Yarrowia lipolytica: one gene and its partners. The protein of the gene in region 1 interacts with the protein of each later gene in a pairwise test. Links are inferred from orthologs where the notes say so. Each region holds a gene or a part of one and is shown in the gene's direction. Other genes may lie near its edges.

Region 1 (6,471 bases):
AGGAAATGAAGGCCGAGCCCGACCGGTTCTCCGAGCACGAAAAGACCACTGGTATACAGTTTCTGTTCTTCGACGGAGAGGAGGCATTCCACAGCTGGTCAGACACAGACTCCACCTATGGATCTCGACATCTTGCCCAGCTGATGGACCAGACTTACAACGAGGTGAACTCGGCCCGGCAGACCTGGCTGGCTGAGATGGAGTACCTGGTGCTTCTGGATCTGATCGGACACAAGGATACATACATCCCTTCATTCTTCAGAAACACTCACTGGCAGTACGAGGTGTTTGCTTCTCTGGAGCAGCGAATCCGGGATATCGGTCTAAGTGCACGTATGGATGAGAAGGAGACCATCTTCACCGAGGGAAAGCCCGCATTCTTTCGAGGAGCTGTTATTGGTGATGACCACCTCCCCTTTCTGCACCGAGGAGTGCCTGTTCTGCATTTGATCCCCAGCCATTTCCCCCCTGTCTGGCACAAGATTGACGACAACGCCAAGAATCTTCACTTTCCTGACATTTCCGAGTGGGGTCTATTGACGAGTAGTTTCGTCGCCAACCAGCTGCGAGTTGGAGACTGGATCGTGGACTATCCTGACGCCAACGAGATGCGAGAGCAGCGAGAGAAGGAGGAGAAGGCGCAGCGAGAACAGGCGCAAAAGAAGAAGATTCCCAACGGCAAGAAGGTCCCTCGAGCTGCTCGCCGACGAGGTGCTATGCTTTAGGAGACTGGGATTGAAGATGTATGTATTGATGCCTTGCAACAGATAGTACGTACCATGGATGAATGATATACCATTACATTAAATGAGAATGTGACTCGGAGCACTGTTTAAACAACTACCCAGCACCTATATAAACAATGCAGACATGCTCTATAAATGATATTAGTCTATGTGCTGTACAGTGTTAGTATGAAATGTGTAGTCGGTGCAAGGTGTAGTCGGTGAAGTGTGTAGATGTGTGTAGAAGGTGGTAATTGCAGCTTGAAATAACCTCGTTCACCTGCTGGTAGGATCAACTTTGGCGTGTTTGAAGAATTTGAGACCCATCCAACTGACGATACACCAGACCCAAGCCATGACGAGGGACAGGAAGAAGGACGTTGGATAGTACATTCTGATGGGGAAGTCGTCGTCATCATCAGGAGCCTTGTGCATATTTTTGCGGTCTGTCTTCGATCCAAACAAGTAGATATCTAGATCAAACATCGTGAAGACTGCGAAGAAGATCAGAGACCATGTTGTGATGAGTAGGATCCATCCCCAAGATGCGATTTCGCTGTATTCGGTGAGTTTTCGTTGTGTGCGGTTGAGAGACACCAGAGACCCGGGATGGTAGGCCACAGGCACGTGGTGCGATGCAGATCGAGGTCGTTTGGCCATGGTTCGGGACCTCAGCTGATATCACGTTACGTGAATAGTTGGCGCATACAGATGTCTAAGTTCAGGCTCCTTGGGAGATATTTGTTGATTAAAGTACGAGCAGTACTGTGGGTTGGAGGGTTTGGACCAGAACGATGTGTTTCCTGTTTTCGGTTAGAATGATGACGAGAGTAGTCGGAATTGAATACGGAAAAGTTGAATAAAAGTGTACTGTAGAGCAATGTTAGTAATCCCAATCGACTATCAATATCCCCATATTGCAGTATATATAGACCCTTTAGCACCTCTGAGTAAGGTTCCGCGTTAATGGAATGGCGTTACGTTATTATGGAGATAGAGAGGCTGGAGACTCAGAAGTAGCGGCCGTTAAGCGAACCCATGACGTCGCTACAAGTAGCAGGAAATGAGGATATTTAAAGGGGTTGATCTAAGAATATCGGAGGGCAGATTGAGCACGTTGAAAAGATCTTTCTCCTCCATCTCAAACACCATATTTCCTACAGTATACAGTTATTCGACTATGTGTGGAAGCCTTGAATTGTAATTCAATGTGTTTTTAGTTTTGGTCAAACAATGTCAGCAGACTCTGGTCGAGAGGCTGTAGTTATGGGAACTGCGCTTCTTCTATACAAGTATGTAAACGGCTGAAAGTGCATCAGAGTTGGAGGTTGCCTCCAAAGTAGCCCACCACTCTGTAAATAATCACTCAGCTCTTTCCATATTGGCTGGTGGTGTCGGAGCGCCTGTCTATCTTATGGTGTTTTGTTATTAATCCGGCGTTCGTGAAACTCGAACTGGGACGCCATACTTGTTATAGTACTTATAACAGCTACAAGTAGTTAGACTGGTAAGGTGGTAACCAACTTTCGTACTCGGGGCCCACGGTGTGACTCTCCTGTGTTGCAATAAATAAGTAAAAGCCACATACAGTACCTATAGCCACGGCTCCGGCGAGCAATACTGTAATCCACTTAGTCGAAGCCAGGCATTAATGCAAATCCAATTGTTCTTAGACGTTCTCTGATCTGCTGTTACTTATAACGCTAGACTTGCACTATTTGTCTTGTCCCAACTCCCATTCTTCACTCTCCCAACATCACTAAGACCGCATCGTCCTGCATCCACGTGATACGACCACGTACATCTCACACTCTCTTGTCGCAACCCAATTCCCCTCATGTTCGGTTTTGGCAAAAAGGACAATCAGAATCCATACCGGGTTCCTGAACAACACTCTCCTACTCACTCCGGATCCAATTCCCCCCGAACAATGAACAACCCTGGTCTTCCTAGACGGGCACCTACTCAGGGACAGCCCATGCCTCCTCATCACCAGACCCCTCCTCCTCAGCAGCACAGACAACCTCCTTCCGGTCACGGTGGCGATATGATTCTGGGAGTGGGCAAGGACAAGGCGTTTGCCCTGGCCAACCTCCTCGAAGTGCCCCCTGGAACCTTTGCTGACGGAGACTACGTCATTATCAACAACCAGCACGTCTTCACCGTGCGACAGTCGCCACATGCTGCTCCCGGCCAGATCCTTGCCGGAGCAGTGCAGCGACGATGGGCAGCTCTCAGCACAAACATGACTGTCCATGTGGCACCTTACGACCCCTTCCACAAGACACAGCAGGTGTATCTGGGCAACCTGGAGCTGGAAATCGACTTCCTGTCTGCCAGTGCGGCCAGCGGAGCTGGATCCCGATCCTTTGAGCCCGAAAAGCTCGCTCACCACTTCCTGCACCAGTACGCTAACCAGATCTTCACCCCTGGACAGACCCTGGCTATGGACTTCGAGGGCCTCAATTTCCAGATCAGAGTGCTCTCTACCTCGGTGGTCAATCTGGGAGACGCTGGCGGAGTGGCTGCCCGAAACGTCCGAGGTATTCTCGTTCGACACACCGATATCGGTTTCAACAAGGCCAAGGGATCGGCCATGAACCTCAAGAGCGCCAAGAACAAACCCCGACAGAACGCTATCATTCAGCCCGACTTCAAATTCCAGGATCTCGGTATTGGTGGTCTTGATGCCCAGTTTGGTAACATCTTCCGACGAGCCTTCGCTTCTCGAATCTACTCTCCTGCCGATGTCGAGGCCCTTGGTATCAACCACGTGAAGGGTATCTTGTTGTTCGGACCTCCCGGTACAGGTAAGACTCTAATCGCCCGACAAATTGGTAAGATGCTCAACGCTCGAGAACCCAAGATTGTCAACGGTCCCGAAATCCTAAACAAGTACGTTGGTGCTTCCGAAGAGAACATTCGAAACTTGTTCAAGGACGCCGAGGCGGAGTACCGAGAGAAGGGCGATGACTCCGGTCTTCACATCATCATTTTCGATGAGTTGGATGCTGTCTTCAAACAGCGAGGCTCCACCGGTGGAGGTACCGGTGTTGGAGACAACGTCGTCAACCAGCTGCTCGCTAAGATGGACGGTGTGGAGCAGCTCAATAACATTCTGGTTATCGGTATGACCAACCGAAAGGATCTGATTGATTCTGCTCTGATGCGACCTGGTCGATTCGAGGTCCAGATTGAGATTCCCCTTCCTGATGAGGCTGGCCGTCTGCAAATTCTCAAGATTCACACCGCGCCTATGACTGCTGCAGGAAAGTTGGGCAGAGATGTGGATCTTAACGAGCTTGCTGGAGAGACTAAGAACTACTCTGGTGCCGAAATTAAGGGTCTGCTTAACTCTGCTGCTTCTTATGCATTCACTCGAAACCTCAAGTTGGACCAAGGTGGAGGAGGCGTGCGACAGGAGAAGGGCGGAGAGCTCATGCTAATGCGGGACGACTTTGTGCATGCCCTCCAGGAAGTGCGTCCCGCGTTTGGTGTCTCCGAAGAGGATCTCGATGCTGCCGTCTCTGGTGGTATCATCAAGTACTCTCCCAACATTGATGACATTCTCAAGAAGGGAGAGCTATTTATTGAGCGAGTTCGACAGTCTTCTGGCGACCGTGCTCTGGCTTCTCTGCTGCTTCACGGCCCTGCTGGCTCTGGTAAGACTGCTCTCGCAGCTTCCATTGCCATGCAGTCGAACTTCCCCTTCGTGCGACTCATCTCTCCCGAAGGCTATGTTGGTATGTCCGAGGCATCTAAGATCACTGCCATTCAGAACTGTTTCCTGGATGCTTACAAGTCTCCTCTGTCCGTCATTGTGATTGACTCTATTGAGATCATTCTCGAGTGGGTCCAGATTGGACCCCGGTTCTCAAACTCTCTGCTGCAGGCCGTCAAGACTCTGTGTCGAAAGACTCCTCCCAAGGGCTGCCGATTGCTAATTCTGGTTACTACTCATGAGCGACACGTTCTTGAGCAGATGGATCTGATTTCCGCGTTTGACTCCGAGATTGGCGTACCTTACCTACAGTCTCTCAAGGAGCTCAACAAGGTACTGGACGCTATGCAGTTCTTGGACTCTCCCGAGGCTCGACACCGGGTTGTACAGTCCATCGAGGCCAAGACTGGATCTACCGTGCCTTCCATTGGTATCAAGACTCTGCTGTCTGGTCTCAAGACTGCCCAGTACTCTTCAGATGTTGAGGAGGAGTTTGTCGATTTTATGGTTGACCATATAAACGCCCGACGAAACAAGTATGTTTAACGAATCACGATTAGAATAGAATACATGAGATTGAAATGATGGGACAATGGCAGAGCGGAACGGATGCGCAAAACAAACTATCATGAACCAGTGATGGACACAAAACAACTGGTAGCAACCTGGGCAGTGTAGTGCAACAGGACGCGAGTGAACATGTAGGACGAGTTGCATTCACACGCATGCCATAGTTAACCACCGTAGCATTTTCAGCCCACACACGAGCTAACAGGTATCCCAAAACAGCTGTTAGGCGAAATAATAATTATCGTTGAGGGCAGAAACCAAATTAGCGACTACAAGTAGCACTCCGTAGGGTCTTCTGGGAAACAAGTGCAGTGACAGGGCTACTACGGTAGGTACAGTACACATCCTTTAGACTGGCACTATTCAAGCGGATATAACTGCACTTAAAGCACTTTGAGCGAAGTGGTGGTCTTATCGCCGTACAACACAGTATAGTACAGTATACAACCGTAGCGTACCTTGTGCATGTCTTCACTACAAGTAGATACTTACTCGTACTGGGCAATGGTATTTGGCCATCTGACGTCATGTTGGTCCCAGTCTTGTATTGTACTTCACATGCCATTGACTCAGTGACAGTTGCTCGTCTTCTTTGTATGTGAAGAGACTAGCAGTGACATAATATAACCCACATTCTTTTGGTTTAGATCATCTCTAGGGAAACAAAAATGGAAGGAGCTGCCCTAGCCGGTGTAGCGAGATCGTCATCACTGGAACCCCCCAAAATACCACCTCGTAAATAAAATTAAAGGTGGTAGGAGTTGGTTGCAGGGGAACATGAGTTCGGAATTTTCGGAGATTTTTGCAGTTACATTGAGCGTGGTATTGGATTGGGGTAGTAGCTCTTAGCTTGTAGTTGTTGCATGCTTTAGCGTGGACTTCAATCACCGAGTCTAACAGTCGCCGGACTGATTGTTCACCGACCTCCTGTACCTCGATCGGGTTGGGTAGGTTTCAGCGAGGGGGTGGTAGGGTGTGAAAAGCAAAAAGCTATGGGAGGGCGTTCTAGGATAGTACATGTAATTATAGATACTGTGTGGTTTTCTGCAATCGTGAACGTGTTTTATACGTCAACCATTTTATGCGTAACATGCGTTGGTTAGAAGGCCCAATGTGTCTGCCCATGTCAGAATGTCAAGTTTGATCCTGAGCTGTCAGAGTCCACTATGACAGTTGTTCTACGGACTGAGTGCCACAGACAAGGATCTGGGATCTCCAGAAAACACTGCATTCTTTCTAGGCCCCTCCTTCTTACAGCTCTGTCCAAATACAGCTCGAGGTCAAATATTACCAGCTAAATCAGACGTCAATGTTGCCTACGACGGCTTTGTTGACATCTGCTGAGCCCACGGCTATAATTTTGGCAGACGTGATGAGACGTGAGCCCAAGGGGGAGGGTGTGACATTGACATAGCCCACTAGCAGGTGGAGGGGATACGAATTTGGACGTCTGTT
Region 2 (4,929 bases), on another chromosome or scaffold:
GTTGGTCTTAACCACATTTTTGAGCTCGCTAAACTCCTTGGGGAGTTTGTCAAGGTTGCGAAACATGAGATCAATGTTTTCGGCCTCCTTGTCAGCACACTGAAGAAGGTACTGAGCAGGAGGAAGAGTGGTGTCCACAGGCGCGGGTTTATGACGTTTTTCAGGACTGGCAACTTCAGCAGCTATTCCTGCCCCGGTTTCGCCAAACGAACCAAGAGAGTTGTACGAGTTGAACGAGTTGAACGAGTTAAGGCTCCGGGTGTAGTTTCTGTAAGGAGTCGTGGGAGCAAGTAGAGACGGACGTGAAGCTGTTCGAACGGGAGTAGAAGAGCTTTCGGCCGCACTCTGTCTCTCCAGCTTGGCCACGGTGGCCTCTGGTTTATCTTCCGTGACCGTTCCATTGCTCTGGAGACTCACGATATGGCTTTCTGACTCCCCTTCGCCCTCCTCGTCTCCGCCTTCCTCCTCCTTGTTCTTGCTTCTTTCAGTGAACTGAATGCCGCCCAGAAACCGCTTTTTTCGGACCGGACTCGACGGCAGGTCGAACTGCGAGCTCCAGCCCTCTCTGTCGGACCATAGACTGCCTCCTGGACTCGAGGGTTGTTTGTCTGTCTGATCGGTTGGCAGGAAATTTGACGACTCAGATGACAAGTTGTCGCCGCCGTACTCGCGCTTGTCGCCCGTGCGCTTTGAAACCACGTGACTCCAGGTGTTGTCCACCGAAAACGGCTGTAGAGAAGACATTTGTGGTAGCCGGTCCAGGTGTTCAAGTGGTTTACAGTAGCTACTCGGTAAGGTATTACTGTAGCGCGTTATAGTGTTTCGTGATAGAGTTCACGGGTCGGAAATGAGTCTGGTAGGGTACAATCAACAAGGACTTCTTGAGAAGATGACCCCGATAAGGAAAAGTTGATTTAAAGCTGTATGTTTCTTCTCCGGTTTCCATTTTCCACCATTTCATTCCATCCACTACTTGCCGATTTACAGACGTCCAAAAACATTTGCTTGGTACTCTGAACCTTGACAGGGGAGTCGCGTGGGTGTTATTACATGTTGATAAATGGTGAATTGGGGTCTGTAGATATGGAGGAACAACTTGTAGGCCTATATATTGGCGATTTTGGCTTCTATCTCATTGTAATTCGAGCCCTGCCAGATGTCTCCATAAGCCACCAACTCGACCCAAGAAAAATCTCACTGAAAAATACAGTTGTGACTTCCAGATGCGGAGGAAAACTTGATTGTTGATTTGCCGATGGTGTGGGGGGGCTACGGGGATTTTGAGTATATCATGGTGGTCCTGGAGATTTCCCTGTGTCTGTGGTTTTGTTGTCGTCTTTCTCCGCCTCCTCGTTCGACTCCACGACTCGTTGTATGTCCAGCCCATTCAAACTGATCAATTAAACCTCCGAGTGCGGTAAATGGTTGAGATGCATGTTATCAGATTTGCACGAGTCGCAGTAATAGGGGACTGAGTCCAAAGAAGACGTGGATTTGAGGGGAGAGGTTATGTTCTTATTTTTGCGTGTCTAGTCACGTGTAGGTGGCAAAAATACTGCACCTAGTAGACACTGACTCCGCCTTCACGTACAAGTAATTAATTTATTTTGTTTTTTATTTTATACTTTTATTTATTCATTTTTTCTTTTTTTTCTTTTTTTAAGCCCGCGGGAGTCTAAAGAAAAGTAGCAAGTATATACCTGCAGATAGCAACGGACTCATAGGGAAGATGGTGCACTGCTCGACCCTTGTTCGATATATCGTGGGGTAAATGTCGAGTTGGTTGCGGTTGTGTATATCAGGCAGTATCCTCCCTTGTCGTCTGAATTGCTTTTTGGGCTTATCACATGCAGGAGTCGAATTTCAGGACCTTTTTTTTTTTTTCCTTTTTTTTCTAATTTTTTTTTTCTCTTTTTTGAATAAGGTCGTATGCACCCTGGTGGCTACAACTATTGTTTAGAACGGCTAAGTAGGATGTCTATATACTCAGGATGGAGGATGACAGCGGCGGCTGTATTGACACAGGAATATACAAACAGGATCAATCGACCACAAATGACCAAGGAGAGCACAGGACCCCCTCCAAAAACACACAAGTACCGGAAATCCCGCACCTGTAGCATCCTTGACACTGGTTATGACATGTCTCTCAGTTAGTCAACTATACTCAACTAATGCGACCAAGTAATAGCGTGATGCTAGTAGGCTATGATGACTTCGAATAATGACGCGATAGGAAGCTGGTAAATTATCGTCCACATACCAATTGTTGAAATATATATCCCCGACTCAGCTCGATCACTGAAAACGCTATATTGACATATTCGGCCACCGTCCCCATCTGGAGTCGAACCCACGTCCACAAACCCTCCACCAACCTTCGACTCACCACTCACCACATCAAATCCATAACCCAGAAAACTGTCCAGATCACACCTCCACCACAGTCCGCCATGTACCAGCAACCTCCCCAGCAGCAATATATGGGTGGCCAGATGAACCAGCCGCCGCCCAATATGCCCCAGATGGCACCCAGCGGCATGGCACCGGCCAACTCCAACGACCCCAACGTCATGCCGTTGAAGCTGACGGCAGAAGACGACAAGCTATATTCGTGGATCGTCGAGCTGATGCACGGCGAGGGTCGCGAGCAGGCTCTACTCGAGCTCGGAAAGAAACGAGAGCAGTACGAGGATCTCGCCCTCATCCTATGGCACTCGTTTGGAGTCATGAGCACTCTGCTGCAGGAGATTATGAACGTGTACTCCCTGCTGACGCCTCCCAATCTGTCCACTGCCGCCAGCAACCGGGTATGCAATGCCCTGGCCCTTCTTCAATGCGTCGCCTCACACGCCGACACCCGAACCCCCTTCCTTGTGGCCCACATTCCGCTCTTTCTGTATCCCTTTCTCAACACCACCGTCAAGTCGCGGTCGTTTGAGTACCTGCGGCTGACATCGCTGGGCGTGATTGGCGCGCTCGTCAAGAACGACTCGCCCGAGGTCATTTCGTTCTTGCTGTCCACCGAAATCATTCCCCTGTGCCTTCGAATCATGGAGAGTGGCACCGAGCTGTCGAAAACAGTGGCGATTTTCATCGTCCAAAAAATCCTCATGGACGACATGGGCCTCAACTACGTGTGCCAGACGTTCGAGCGGTTCACCGCGGTGTCGCAGGTGCTCGCCAACATGGTCCAGCAGCTGATTTCACAACCGGCCTCCCGACTGTTGAAACACGTGGTCAGATGTTATCTCAGACTGAGTGACAACGCCAGAGCCAGAGAGGCACTAAGACAGAGTCTGCCCGAGCCGCTGAGAGATGCTACCTTCAGCCAGGCTCTGAGAGACGATGCCGCAACCAAGAGATGTCTCGCGCAGCTGTTGATCAACTTGAGTGATAGTTACGAGTGAACAACGAGCAGTGCAGCTGCGACTTGTGAGCGGAACTCACAGTCCTACCACGAACATCGTGCTGCGACTAGTGACCACGACTACAGGTGTCAAAGCTGACCCATAGAGCAGTTGAATACCACTCAGCAACCCGGTTCATGAACCGCGAGCTTACTGCATCATCGAAGACCAACAAATCGCATAATAGGTCACCTGGAACAGGTGGTGACCCTAAGGGGAGCTGGGAGTGGCCCGTACGTACGGTACAACGCCACAGCATGTAAAAATATATTATCTATCTACACTAGACAAGGCCCGTGAACCGTGGCATCTGATTGAAATCAGACAGACATATTTCCATGATAGACAGATATGTCCATCTAAATAACTCATCCTTGCGCTTTCAGCGAGAGAGCTACCATCTCTCTAAAAGGAGCTCCTACGTGACAGCTACGTTATCACCGGAACGTCAAGTCACTGAACACGAAGTAGTCGAACCAACACGTAGCTAGGGTTAGTCGTAGTCAAATAGAATGTATGACTAATGATGTTATAATGCTTTTCTTGCTTATATAAGTATGTAATTGTACAGAAAGAAGTAGCTACTTCTGAGTCAAAGGGATGTAACGAGGGCCCAAGTGCTGGGATACAATACACCGGCACTGTCTGAGCCTCGCTGTCATAGCAGCTCGCTCTAGAAAGTCTAGTCAATCATAAATACATTGTTTACAAGGAATGAGGTTGATGCGGAAGTTGATGCACGTGGTGCTGCTGTATCTGCTGGGCCCCCGTATGCTGAGTATGGGGCTGTGCGTGGGGTTGTGCGTGGGTCTGCTGCTGCTGGCCCTGGTGTGTCTGAGCCTGCTGCTGTGTGTGACCCTGCGCGGGCTTACCCTGCTGCTGGCTCTGACTCTCCTGCTGCTGCTGCTGCTGCTGTTGCTGCTGCTGCTGTTGTTGTTGTTGTTGCTGGGCCGCCTGCTGCTGCTGTCGTTGGGCCGCCTGCTGGGCCCGCTCCTGCCGCTCGCCCTCGCCGCTCACAGGCCCCACACCTGCACCACCGTTACCAATCGCCCCGGGATGGGGTGTCGACAGAATCTTGGGCTTGCGCTTCCGTTTCGACGTCTGCGGATCAATGCCCTGGTGAGCAACATTGTGAATGTGGTCATGCCAGTACGACGGGATCCGCGTGATGAACGTGCAGTATTCACTGGGACAGTTAAAGTAGCCGTTCTGGTCACGCTTGGAATGCACAATCGTATTGGCCGGAAACTCGCGGAACACGTTGGACGCCCAGATGGTCGTCTGGATCTCTGGATAGTGCCGGTTGTTCTTGTGCGTCTGTCGCTCGGCCACCGTCTGGAACAGCTCGCCGCACTTTCGGCACATGTACAGCGACCGGTTGTGGATGTGTTTTTCATGACGCTTCAGTTCAGACGTGTTGCTGCACTGCGTGCCACACTCGCGACACACCACGGGGCCGTTGTTGGTAATAGGCACCGAGTTGGCCGGCGACTTTTTGTTCTTGCGCTTCTTCTTCGGC
Region 3 (4,407 bases), on another chromosome or scaffold:
CAGCCGTTGAGGTGGTTCGAACTCTAAGTTAGCCGAGGCAGAAGCTGAAGGGATCGGAAAGTCGGGCAATGTACAAGCTCCGTGCAGAGCGGCTGGAGAGGAACGGGAGAATGGCGGTCACGTGACGCAGTGCGGTTGGACTGGATCCGCAGATGTTGGATTTTCGCGGCGGACGTTGGATTTTCGGACCAACTCTCACCTCATCTCAAAAGCAGAATAAACCTCGCATCCGTGTGGGGTATGGTGTTAAATGGATTCATGTGAGGGACGGAGAGCAGGTCAAAGTTCGTCATACCAAATGAGACCATCATTATTGCGGGTATTTTTGTTCTTCGATCAAGTTTTGACGAGTATGACAACATCTTGTCTTCTTGTAGCTCGTGCTTTGAAGTCGTGTCATGGTACTCTTACTCGGACTATTTGGAGTTCTCAGTCATGTACAAGTACAAGTACAGAGTACAGTACATAGAGTACATACAGTAGTTCGCTGTCCTGTGGAGTTTGTAGATTGACATTATGACTTCGATCAGACCCCAACTGGAACTTGGTGCACGATTCCAAGGTAGCGCTACATCTGAACACCTGATCTTAGATCGTCTACTTGTATCGTAAATTGAGTGACTGGCTGACTCCGAGAGGGGTATCGTGTGAAGTGTCCCACGTACCATTGCTCGCCTATCGATACAGGATAGGCTTGTACAACTAGTCCTCGAACTCGTAGTACTACTGCTGCTTTCCTTCCGCAATAGTCAAACCGCACACAATGTTCTCCGAGACACCTCAACAGACGTCTTGTGATCTGCCCGTTCAGTTGGTGCGTTACCTGTGACAAAACCATGGTCCAGCATACAGAGACATCCAACCAGTGATTGTAGCAGAGTTTGAAACACGCACTTCTTCCCTCTCTCTCGAGATATACTTTCATACAAGCCTTGATTTCGATGAGATTCTGAGTTCAATACAGCTTCTGAGGGATCCATATTGCTCACAAAATTAATTAGCAACCGAAGATAGGTCAACAAACCGCGGTTAGGGTTCGGACACCCCCCCACCCTTAGTCAGAAGCTTATGTTGAGAGCAAGTTCGAGTTCAGTACTCGTACTTGAGACATAGCAAAGCAATTCTGGTCATGTGACTGCAAAAAAAACAGTTGTACTTGTAGTTGCGGGTGAGGGCCCGATCTGACTGGCCAATGTTTACCCTACCGAGCAACCCCACACATATTAATAATATACGAAGCTTTTAGGTTATCTGAGCACTGAGTTCACAGTCTCAAATAAGGTTGTGGAAGTGCACGGAAAAGTGCACCTAAGGAGGTGTTAAAGAAGCCAATTGTGGGTTTTCAAGGAGAAAATCGGTTCTGAATGGCCCCCAAATACCCCCTGTCTCCTTTTTCCGCGCGATTTTGACCCATTTCCCTGGATTTTCAGGTGGCAAATTTGTAAAACGCTTTTATCGGCTCTGCAGATGCAGTGTTCCAAACTCCCAACTGAAACAGACCTGGCTTTATCGCTGTTCTTAGAAATACTAGCCTTCTATTGGCCAATGAAACACGAGCGTGACAAGTCCATAAGTGTCCGTAGAGCGGGTAATTGCGGTCAATAGTTGGAGTTTGCACCCCGGAAGTCACGTGATGCCCCCCCATCCCCGGTCATTCTCCCCCAAGACTCCTTGCAATCTGGCATGGTGTACATGTTTCCTGGATTATTTTTGACATTTTTGGTTGCCTTGCATTTCCACTTTTGGGGGCGAAGGGCTAATAGGCATTTTTTGACATTTTCGACGAAACAGGCTTTTGACCAGTGAGCATTTTGTGCGGGATGTTTAGCGTCCATCGGTGTATTTTTGGATACCAATGGCTAGCCTGCGGTGAGGAGGGTCCGATTCCGTCATAAAACTGGTCACGTGCAGTAATGATTTTTGTTGTTTTGGGTGATTTGTAATGGTTTCCATGGCCTTCGGACTTGTCTGCTGCAAATTGACGTTTCGTTTTTTTTTGGAGCCGACAAAGTTTGGATTTTCGGGAGCTGGTTCAGGGATGGAATACGCGACATAGGGGCTAATGGGACGTGTGACGAGGCGTTACTTCGGCAGTTCCGAGTTTGGAGGGGCGACCTGTGTGTTTTTTGAGCCGCAAAACCATCGCTTTTACCGTATTTCGGCTTTCCGGAATCTGAGCGGACGCATCCCTCGTCTCGCTGTGCAATTATGTGGTGCATGCTGCAGGTGCATGTTTGGGGACATTGCAGGGTGGTGGGGGGGAGAGGGTTTGGGAAGCGGAATGGAGGCAGATTGAGAGCGGTTGTTGCTCTGTGGCACTTTGGGCAGCGCCAATCGACCGTCTCATAGGGGGGTTTGGATGGAGCCCAACTTTGGGGAGGGAGATTTCTCGCTTGCCGTTCCGACTTAAACTCTAAATATGAGTCCGAAGTCGCAAAACCAGACTGAATAAGGTTTATGTGGTTCTTTGTTTGAGGGGGTTACCCGGCCGGAGCTTATGCGCTTATCAGATTTGGATTTGGGTCCCAATTCATGTGATGCGCCCAATCAGATAGGTATATAGTCTCAAGCACTTCCTCCTAGAACGCCAGACGAAAATCTCAGTGGAACCCGACATTTAAGACGAGCCCACACTAAAAACTCACGCACAAACACACACAAGCGAAAATGATGTTCAACAGAATTACCCGATCTGCCGGTCTGCTCGCTCGAGCCCGACCCACCACCACCGCCGTCATGTCTCCCATGACCCCTCTTGCCATCTCTCGACGAGGCTACCACGAGAAGGTGCTGGACCACTACAACAACCCCCGAAACGTGGGATCCATGAACAAGAATGACGAGGACGTCGGAACTGGTCTGGTTGGAGCCCCCGCCTGTGGCGATGTCATGAAGCTGCAGATTCGAGTGGACGACAACGGAGTCATCCAGGACGTCAAGTTCAAGACCTTTGGCTGTGGCAGTGCCATTGCCTCCTCTTCCTACGTGACTGAGCTTGTTCGAGGCAAGTCTCTGGCTGAGGCTGGCAAGATCAAGAACACCGTCATTGCCAAGGAGCTGTCTCTTCCCCCCGTCAAACTGCATTGCTCCATGCTGGCTGAGGACGCCATCAAGTCTGCCATCAGCGATTACAACAGCAAGCGAAAGACCAAGAACCCCACTCTTGGTGCCGAGGCTGCAGAGACTCCTGCTGCCGCCACTGCCACTGCCTAAGTGTAGTGCGGGACCGGTACGAAATGATGAATAACGGAGGATGGGCTTGAGAATCTCGAAAAGCCAAAAAAATATTGGTGGCAAACAATGCGCGGAAAGCATTTGAATTATGACGAGTATGAATGATGGAGATATAGCAATAGTATTTATTTATATGTGATGAGCATGTGAGAACCCAAACCCACATTCCAGGAAAGCTAGAAGCTTATTTTAGCTCTACCATTGCACCCACTAAATAGTATTGCTTCACCACCCCCAAAACACAACTTAACACCACCACCACACGTTACTCACACTAACCACAAACACGACCATGGTTTCTCTTCCGTTCCGACGAGCATCCAAGGCCGAGGCCAACTCGTCCGCGCCCGCTCCCTACTACAAGTACGACCGAGGAGAAGATGCCGAGCAGGAGCAGAACCAGGACCCCAATGCTCCTCCCTCGCCCAACAACAGACGTCAGAGCAAAGCGCAGGATGTCAGTGACCCCATTCTGTCTGCGATTCACGACGCCCAGCCGTTCGAGCAGTCGTACAACCATCAAGGCGTCCACCAGAGTCTGTCGCCAGACATGCAGCTCCGAGATACTTTTGGAGCTCCCATCAGTGACCCCGACCGGTCCAACCCTACCCGTCCTCGAAACGAGCGACCTCTTGACACAATCCGAACGTTTGAGTACCTGACGACCGGAGACGAAAGAGTGCGAGAGGAGATGGAGACGGGATCTCTGGGCTTTGTGCCCCGACAGGGCTTCACCGTGCCCCAATTTGACACAAACCCCTACGCCCCCCAGGAAGGCTCAAGCAATGGCCCCGAGGGTGGAAACGTCATTTCTTTTGCTGGCAACGGCGAGAGCGCAGAATTCAACTACATCCGAGACCCTCCTCCCGTGACCAAGGAGAAGAAGAAGCGAGGTCTGTTTGGCCGAAAGAAGAAGGAGAAGCCCATTACCGTCGGACAGTTGGAGGAGTAGAAGGACTTTGGATTCGGTCCAGGTTGATGACAGAGCACTAGTTATACCGAGTGCCATGTAATGAGGGTTACAGGGTTGACCCTGATAGTGAATGTATTGTTTGTATATATTGTACTTGTACATACAATCCACGATGGGGCGCGTTCACGGAAAGAAAATTATTATTATTATTATTATTATTATTATTATTATTTATTGGCGTTAGCGCAGTGTTGATGTTG

What was found.
Region 2: the proteins of YALI1_E34525g (region 1) and YALI1_F04643g interact in a two-hybrid assay, tested with the Schizosaccharomyces pombe proteins (2 studies listed by BioGRID). The link is inferred for Yarrowia lipolytica from reciprocal best matches to the Schizosaccharomyces pombe genes sec18 and rcd1.
Region 3: the proteins of YALI1_E34525g (region 1) and YALI1_B06839g interact in a two-hybrid assay, tested with the Schizosaccharomyces pombe proteins (2 studies listed by BioGRID). The link is inferred for Yarrowia lipolytica from reciprocal best matches to the Schizosaccharomyces pombe genes sec18 and isu1.

Annotation. Positions count from the first base shown.
Region 1 is NC_090774.1:3,449,957-3,456,427, forward strand, and holds YALI1_E34525g (uncharacterized protein), read left to right. Parts: upstream 1-2,562; coding exon 2,563-4,992; downstream 4,993-6,471. Other genes in the region: YALI1_E34494g (uncharacterized protein), read left to right, coding at 1-725; YALI1_E34513g (uncharacterized protein), read right to left, coding at 1,002-1,385. UniProt on the Schizosaccharomyces pombe protein: Required for vesicle-mediated transport. Catalyzes the fusion of transport vesicles within the Golgi cisternae. Is also required for transport from the endoplasmic reticulum to the Golgi stack.
Region 2 is NC_090775.1:461,901-466,829, forward strand, and holds YALI1_F04643g (uncharacterized protein), read left to right. Parts: upstream 1-2,453; coding exon 2,454-3,410; downstream 3,411-4,929. Other genes in the region: YALI1_F04626g (uncharacterized protein), read right to left, coding at 1-744; YALI1_F04655g (uncharacterized protein), read right to left, coding at 3,478-3,684, 3,737-3,742; YALI1_F04690g (uncharacterized protein), read right to left, coding at 4,116-4,929. UniProt on the Schizosaccharomyces pombe protein: A differentiation-controlling factor that is essential for the onset of sexual development. Induces ste11 when sexual development is invoked through nitrogen starvation.
Region 3 is NC_090771.1:681,266-685,672, forward strand, and holds YALI1_B06839g (uncharacterized protein), read left to right. Parts: upstream 1-2,667; coding exon 2,668-3,213; downstream 3,214-4,407. Other genes in the region: YALI1_B06847g (uncharacterized protein), read left to right, coding at 3,527-4,186. UniProt on the Schizosaccharomyces pombe protein: Scaffold protein for the de novo synthesis of iron-sulfur (Fe-S) clusters within mitochondria, which is required for maturation of both mitochondrial and cytoplasmic [2Fe-2S] and [4Fe-4S] proteins.